Oryctolagus cuniculus: one gene and its partner. The protein of the gene in region 2 binds, or shares a complex with, the protein of the main gene of each other region. Links are inferred from orthologs where the notes say so. Each region holds a gene or a part of one and is shown on either strand. Other genes may lie near its edges. The genes, in order: PPFIBP1 and PPFIA1.

What was found.
Region 1: PPFIA1 (region 2) and PPFIBP1 share a complex: the UniProt entries of both Homo sapiens proteins name them as parts of the cortical microtubule stabilization complex. The link is inferred for Oryctolagus cuniculus from reciprocal best matches to the Homo sapiens genes PPFIA1 and PPFIBP1.

What each region holds. Positions count from the first base shown.
Region 1 is NC_091440.1:124,828,073-124,831,256, reverse strand, and holds part of PPFIBP1 (liprin-beta-1), read right to left. Parts: intron 879-3,184; coding exon 699-878; intron 1-698. UniProt on the Homo sapiens protein: May regulate the disassembly of focal adhesions. Did not bind receptor-like tyrosine phosphatases type 2A.
Region 2 is NC_091432.1:2,222,432-2,226,702, reverse strand, and holds the start of PPFIA1 (liprin-alpha-1), read right to left. Parts: upstream 2,975-4,271; 5' UTR 2,769-2,974; intron 2,040-2,768; exon of another isoform or gene 2,019-2,039; intron 1,824-2,018; coding exon 1,560-1,823; intron 1-1,559. UniProt on the Homo sapiens protein: May regulate the disassembly of focal adhesions. May localize receptor-like tyrosine phosphatases type 2A at specific sites on the plasma membrane, possibly regulating their interaction with the extracellular environment and their association with substrates.

The DNA of each region.
Region 1 (3,184 bases), on a different chromosome or scaffold from region 2:
ACGGGGGCGGCCAAGGGTCACGGAGTGGGAGGCAAGCTGTCCTGTCCTGACCTCTCCGAAAAGTTCTATTCATTTGACAGGCAGAGAGAGAGAGAGAGAATTTCATTTGCTGGTTTCCTCCCCAGAAGCCAGCCCCTGGGGGCTGGGACTCAGGCACACTGAAGCTGAGAGCCAGGACTGCCATCCAGATCTCCCACATGGGTGACAGCAGCCCAACTACCTATGCCATCCCCACTGCCCTCCAGGGTCCTCCTTAGCAGGAAGCTGGAATCAGGGGTTGAATTCAGGTACTACAAAGTGCATATGAAGATACTGACTGGTGTCTCAAGCTGTAGGCCAAACACCAGCCCCAATGATCTGTTCTAATGCCTACACTTCCTTAACCCAGAGCTGGTACAACATGGGCCGTTCATCTCAGCAGCACAGGCTTGGAGCCAGCTGGGTAGGTTAGAGCCCTGGGGTAAGTCACCAACCTCAGCGTCTCAGTTAATGATACTCCCTGGCTTTTCCGGGTTCCGTGAACATCCTACATTAAGTGCTTAGAGAGTCCCTGGACTGCCGTCAACAATCCAAGCGTTTATTATTGTTATTTTATTCTCCTGACTTTTGGGCCCTGGATCAGTACACACACGTGCAGCATTCCCTTCGGGCCGGGACGCTGGAGCCACTTTGAGAGACTCACTCGGCGCCACACTCACCTGCTCTAGCCGGTCCAGGTCGTCCTCGTCGTAGAGACGCATGTCCAGACCAGGTTTAAATCCTTTCTTGGATGCACTTCCTGACACCTGTCCCAACTCCATCGGACAAACATATTCTTCCCCATCTTCCTGCTTCTTCTTTCTCAGGTTCCCAAAATTGCTGAAGGTAAGTTTCTTTGGCTGTAAAGAGAAAATCAAACAAAAACCCGGATATCTGAGAGAGCTCACATGACAAAAATACCGATAACAGGGATAAAATTATTTGCCTTGTCACAGAGAAAAATGAACAGATGATTAAATTTGAGTAACAAAAAGCAAGGGCAAGCATTTAGCCTTTGAGTATAATGTAAATTAAAAAGATGTTGTCTCAAAAACTAAGAGAGAGAAAGAAAGGGAGAGCGAGGGAAGGAGGGAAGAAGAAAATATCATTATGTTCTTAGAACTGTATGAAATACAGTGAACCTGTTCTCTTTGTAGTACATTACATTACATGAAAAAAATAAAGTAAAAAAAGACCCACAAAAAAACAAGCACACCCTAGGCAAATGAATCATGCACCCAAATACGATAAGTGACCCTTGTTATAAAGCTCAGGAGAGATAGCTTATTCTTCTTACACCAGTTAGCTATTTAGTCACCATGAAAAATATGCCGGAAGCCCCAGTTTTCATTAGACAAGACTTAATGCAAAGTTTTGCAACCAGCAAAACAACAACTGCAATGACAGCAAATGGTCCTGACTGTGTTTTCTCTGTGGGCGAGGCTGCACTGTCCTATACACTTGTTCTGTTTCCATTAACAGGACTGGCTGTTGCTAAAAGAATTTCCAGTCTTCTGCAGAGAAAACTTTAGTGCTAACTGGGAACTGCAACTCCATCTCAGACCCTGGATAGTCCCCTGAGACTTTCTTTTCTTTTTTTTTTTTTTTTTAATTTTTTTTTTGACAGGCAGAGTGGACAGTGAGAGAGAGAGAGACAGAGAGAAAGGTCTTCCTTTGCCGTTGGTTCACCCTCCAATGGCCGCCACGGCCGGCGCGCTGCGGCCGGCGCACCGCGCTGATCCGATGGCAGAAGCCAGGTACTTCTCCTGGTCTCCCATGGGGTGCAGGGCCCAAGCACCTGGGCCATCCTCCACTGCACTCCCTGGCCACAGCAGAGAGCTGGCCTGGATGGAAATGGTGGTCAGGCTGATGCCTGGCATTTAAACAGAACCACCTCTCTCAAAGGTTTCCAAATCTGTCACACTCTTTTTTTTTTTTTTTTAATTTCACAGGCAGAGTTATAGACAGTGAGAGAGAAGAGACAGAGAGAAAGGTCCTCCCTCTGTTGGTTCACCCCCCAAATGGCCACTACGGCCGGAGCTGCTCTTTTCCGAAGCCAGGAGCCAGGTGCCAGGTGCTTCTTCCCAGTTTCCTATGCGGGTGCAGGGGACCAATCACTCGGGCCATCCTCCACCGCTCTCCCAGGCCACAGCTGAGAGCTGGACTGGAAGAGGAACAGCTGGGACTAGAACCGGCACCCACATGGGATGCCAGCTCCGCAGGCGGAGGATTAACCAAGTGATGCATGGCACCAGCCCCAAATCTGTCACACTCTTAAAAACTTATTTGAGAGACACAGGGACAAGGAGGGGGGAAGGTGGGATAGAGAGAGACACACACACACACACACACAGAGGGACAGAGCTATCTCCCAAACATGGGATCACTCCCCAAAAGCCTGTAACGGCCAGGGTCAGGCAAGGCCATAAGCCAGGAGCTGCGACTGCAAGCCAGGTCTCACACACCGGGAGGGACCCAGTTACCGAGACAGCACTGTGGCCTCCCGGGGTACACATTCGCAGGGAGCTAGAGTCACAAGCTAGAGCTGGGTACTGAACCCAGGTACTGGGATGTGAGACCCAGGTACCTTAATTATCAGGCCAAACAACTGCCCGCAGCCTGACTTTTAACAGAGAAAGGACACAATAAAGAGAAGATGCTCAGGCAGATGGGATGGGAAGGGGGCAGGTAAAAAAAAAAACCTAGAACGCGGCACATGGTCTTCAAAAAGTTCATGGAAAATGTGAATTTTGAAAAAACGACACATAGGTTTCAAACTCTTTTGGTGCAAAAATACACTTCTCTGGTTTGATTTGTCCATGAACTTTCTGAGTGCCCCCTGTTTTTCTATAAAAGCTGGCAAACTCCATCTTTGCATTAAACTGATGGAGGTAGCATATGCAGCACGGGACTTAGAAGAAGAAAGAGCCACGTGAGTCGGGGATGTCCCACAAATCCACGGGAACTAGGAAAGCGCCGTCCTCGGCTGTTCTACCAGGAGTCATTTCTTCCGCAGCTACTCCTAACTGTCGAGGCTGGTCAGAAATCAGCCAGACGCCTTCCTCGTATCCCTGGCTAATGGATGGGAGAAGCAGGACCAGGGGGAACCCACTCCCCGGCTTGCTGCGTGGGCAACATAGCCAAGACGGAAGCTAGCGTCGTGCTC
Region 2 (4,271 bases):
CTCAGCCCCGGCAGCGCCCAGGCTCTGGGTGAGGGCGCTGATTCTGGACGGCGCTGCCTGTGAAATCCACCGAGATGGACACTTCCGATCGGGGAAGCCTTCTGACGCAGGCGGCAGCTATGTTTTCTGTAGCATTCTCCGGCTTGCTTATCTGGCCACACAATTAGCCAGCGAAGCCCAGCCAGATTCCAGGAAGAGAGAAGGAACAAAACAAGTCCCCTGGCTGCTTTCGGCGGTGCTGCAATCAGGCGCTGACGTGAACCGGCGGCGTCACCTTCAGCCAACCAGGCCTCTCCAGAAAGATCCCGGGCGCCGCCGCCCGCGGAGGCTCCGTGTGCCACACACTGCCACCGGCCTGCTCTCCTGCGTGCCCCCACCCGGTAACTACCTCATCAAACACCCGCGTGTCGGACGCACTGTCGTGGGTGCCGTATCCATGACCAAAACACGAAACTGCGGAAAAGACCTACAAGCACGTACAGTAAAATCCCGCACAACACGGGCCGGCCAATTCTTTGACGTTTTTGGCATTAAAATCTGACCTAAACAAAGTTGGTAGTTTATAAGACTTGAAAGAGAAAAATCTTAATGAATTCTCTAACGCACAACAAACCACTAACATCGAGTTGCGATGGCTAAAAAGGAACTCTGAATGTCTGCTCGTCGTGTTCAGGACGGCCGAGGACGGCCGAGAAGGGCACCGGGGCAGCAGTCCTGCACCTGCTCACTCGTCAGAGCGCCCTGGAGCCACCGCGAAGGCACCTCTATGGATAAGGAACGCGGCATGCAGACAGCTCGCGGACCCCCAGCAACCACGCATCCCCACTGTGCTCTGGGCGGCCCACCCGCCCTCGTCTCCTTCCCCTACCACTGAACCCCACTCAGCTCCGCAGGACACGCCCTGAGAGGTCAAACAGCCTCAGCTGTTTCAAGTTCCCCTGGGGTCAACCTCCAGTCTCCCAGCTCCTGAAACAAACCTGACCCACAAAACACAGCTGTCCAGTCCAGGGCAAAGCCCAGCTGTCTGTCTACCAGACGCCTCAGGGGAACTGCAGGTCGGTGGGACAGAATCCGCAGGAAATTCACACTCTGCATGGAAAGCCCAGAGACGGCAGACGGAGAGGGCTGCCCACGCCAGGCCCGAGCAACATGGGAGGACGGAGAGGGCTGCCCACACCCAGGCCCGAGGACAGAGGGCGCTGTCCACGTCAGACCCGGAGACGGGAGGACGGAGGGCACTGTCCACACCAGGCCCGAGCGAGACGGGAGGACGGAGGGCGCTGGCCACGCCAGGCCCGAGCGCGGAAAGGCAGGGCGCGGCTGCTGTCCCGAGGAGCTGGCCCCGAGCAACGCTGCGGCAAGCACAACCGTCAGCAGCCGCGGCCACAGCCGCCCGGAGCCGCGCCGCGCCATGGCCACAGCGGCCCGGAGCCGCGCCGCGCCACGCCATGGCCACAGCGGCCCGGAGCCGCGCCGCGCCACGCCATGGCCACAGCGGCCCGGAGCCGCGCCGCGCCATGGCCACAGCGGCCCGGAGCCGCGCCGCAGGGCGCCCTCACCTGCGGCAGCGCGGTGTTGAGCTGCCTCTGCAGAGAGTCCCTCTCGTGGCCGACCTCGTGCAGCTTGCCCTGCGTCAGCGCCAGCGTCTCCTGGGTCTCTCTCAGCGTGTCCAGAAGACGGTCCCTCTCTTCCAGCATGGACACCATCAGCTGCTCGAAGTGCGAGTCGGCGTCGGGCTGGGCCGGGGAGCCGGCCCCATGGCTCCCGCTGCCTCCCGGGGGGCCTTCTGCCTCACTGATGGTCGGCATCACCTCACACATCATCTGCAAGACAGGCAGCAGCCCGGTCATCCGGGGCACACACCTGCACCCGGCTGTCCCCACTCCCAGTCCTGCCTGCTTGCAGGGGGTCGGCAGAGACGCCCGGGGCCGCGACCAGCGAGGACCCAGAGCGGACCCAGAGCGGCCCGCGGGGTGCTGTGCCCGCAAGGCTCCGCTCTCTCCGCGTGCTTCTGGTACCTGACTTTCCTGCCGCCCGGCTCGGGGCCGGGGCAGGAAGGGCAGAGAGGGGGCATCGCACGGGAACGCGTGCGGTCGGCTCGCGAATGCCGGGCTGCACCTGGGAACCGGGTCCGGGGAGGGCGGGCAGAGGTGTTTCTCCGCGGCTGCCGTGGTTGGTCAGTCAACCTCGCTTACGTCAGTTTACAGCCCAAAAAAAATAAACCTGGGGGAGGCGGGGGTGGAAATTCCACGCGGGACGGCCAGCGAGGAAGCCAGGAAAAGTGAAAGGCGAGCTGACCAGAGGCTATTAGGTGTCTCCGGCGGAAAGGCCGGGCACCGCTCCGGAGGCTGCCGGGGCACCGCGACCCCCGAGAGCCAGCAGCCCAGCGCCGCGCACCTGGCGGGCGCCGGCCACCGCCAACCGCTCGCACCTCCGTCCCCTCCCGCGTCAGGTGCCGCACAAGCCCCAGCACCCGGGGGTGCTCGGAGCCCCTGGGACAAGGCCCGCCCGCCGTGGCCACAGGTCCTCGCCCCTGCCCCCGGCGCTGGGGTCACCACGGCGCCGCGGTCAGCGCGCGGCCCCCAGGGCTGAGCCCCCCGGGGAGCAGCGGGGCGCCGAGCTGGGTGGGGGCTCCCCGCCGAGGGCCGCGCCCCCAGCCGCGCCCCCGCGGCGTCCCGGCCCCCCAGGTGACACTCCGTCCGCGGGGACGGCCCGGCCGGCGCCGGGCGCCCCGGGCCCCGCGCCCGCCTCAGCCCCCCGCTCCTCACCTTGCTGGCCGGCGGCAGCGGGCGACGAGGCTCCGCGGCGGCTCGCTGCGGGCGAGCTCAGGGGCCGACGAAGGCAGCCGCGGGCAGCTCGCGCCCGCCCGCCCCACGCCGCGGCCCCGCGGCCCGCCGCCCGTCACGAAGGCCGGCCAGCGGCCGGACACTGGCGGAGCGCAGGAGGAGCGGGCCCGGCTGCGCGTCGCCGGCGTCAACGTGCCCGACGTCCGGCGCGTCGGCGCGAGCGTCAGCACCGCCCCGGGGGAGGGGCCCCGGGGCGCCGCGGCCGCGAGTGCGCAGGCGCCGCGGCCTCGGGAGGCAGTGGGCGGGGCCGCTAGGGCGCCGATTGGCTGGGCGTTGCGGAGGCTCCGCCCCGCCCCGCCCCGCCCACACGGGTCCCCGGGCGGAGCCACAGGTGGGAGCCGCGGAGCCAGGTGGCCGCTGTAGCTTCCGCCTGCGTGCTGCCCCCGAGTCTCCCGCAGCCGTGCGAGCGCGGGAGGCCTTTGCCCCCGCGCCGGCGGTGTGCCAGGTCCCGAGCCAGAGCTCCCCGGACGTCACGTCGGCGCTCCGCTCCCGGGGCTGGCGCTGCTACTCGCCACCTTGCGTGAGAGCGAACCGCGACCTCCGACGCCCGCTGACAGCCGGGCCCGGACCCCGCCGCGTCGGTCCCGGAGCGGCCCCGGGCGGATCCTTACAGGGCGGGCGGGACGCGGCGGCCCCGCCAGACCCACGTTCCGACGCTACATGCCGCACCTGGGGCGGCCAAGACCAGCAGCGTCGGATTTCGAGGCTCACGGGCGCCGTGCGGGGACGTGCAGGCTTCGCAGGCACGGCTGGTTCAGCCACCGGCCGCTCCTGTCCCTGGACAGCTCCGGGATGCAGGACCTGCGCCGTGGGAGGCACCTCCGAGCTGCCCTCGGGGGCCGGGCCTTTGAGAGCCCAGCAGGTGCGGAACCGGGCAGGGGAAGCCCTCCTGCGAGTCGTGCGTGACCAGTCACCCTTTCCGCAAGCGCCTAAAAAAGCGCCTGCCGCGTGCCACATCCCACGCAAAAGTGGCGGGTCCCAGCGTTCAGGAACGCACGCGTGCCCGCCCCCTGCACGGTCGGGCGCAGAGAGCGCAAGGTCTTCATAAACCAAAACGATAGGGCAGCGGCTGCGGCCCCACTGGCCTCTGGGTGCTGGTGTGCAGCCAGGAGCCGCACCCGAACCCTCCAGGTGATCCCTCGAATCTCCATGGGTCAGACCACCTAGAACAAGCACTGGGTGACCAGGGACCACACACGAACCCGAATCTGCATCTCTGCCCCAGCTCTTTGCCATGTTAAAATTGTACAAAAAAAAAAAAAAAAAAAAAAAAAACCACCACTTAGGTCTGCGATTCTGCAGGGGTGCAGGGGTGCCCGGTTCTCCGAACCAGGGTCTGGATCACTGATTTGCAGCTCTCCTGAGGGTCAGCGGCTCAGCGCACCCAGCCCGTGTTTGCCCATGGCTCACCACGGCGCCGCCTCC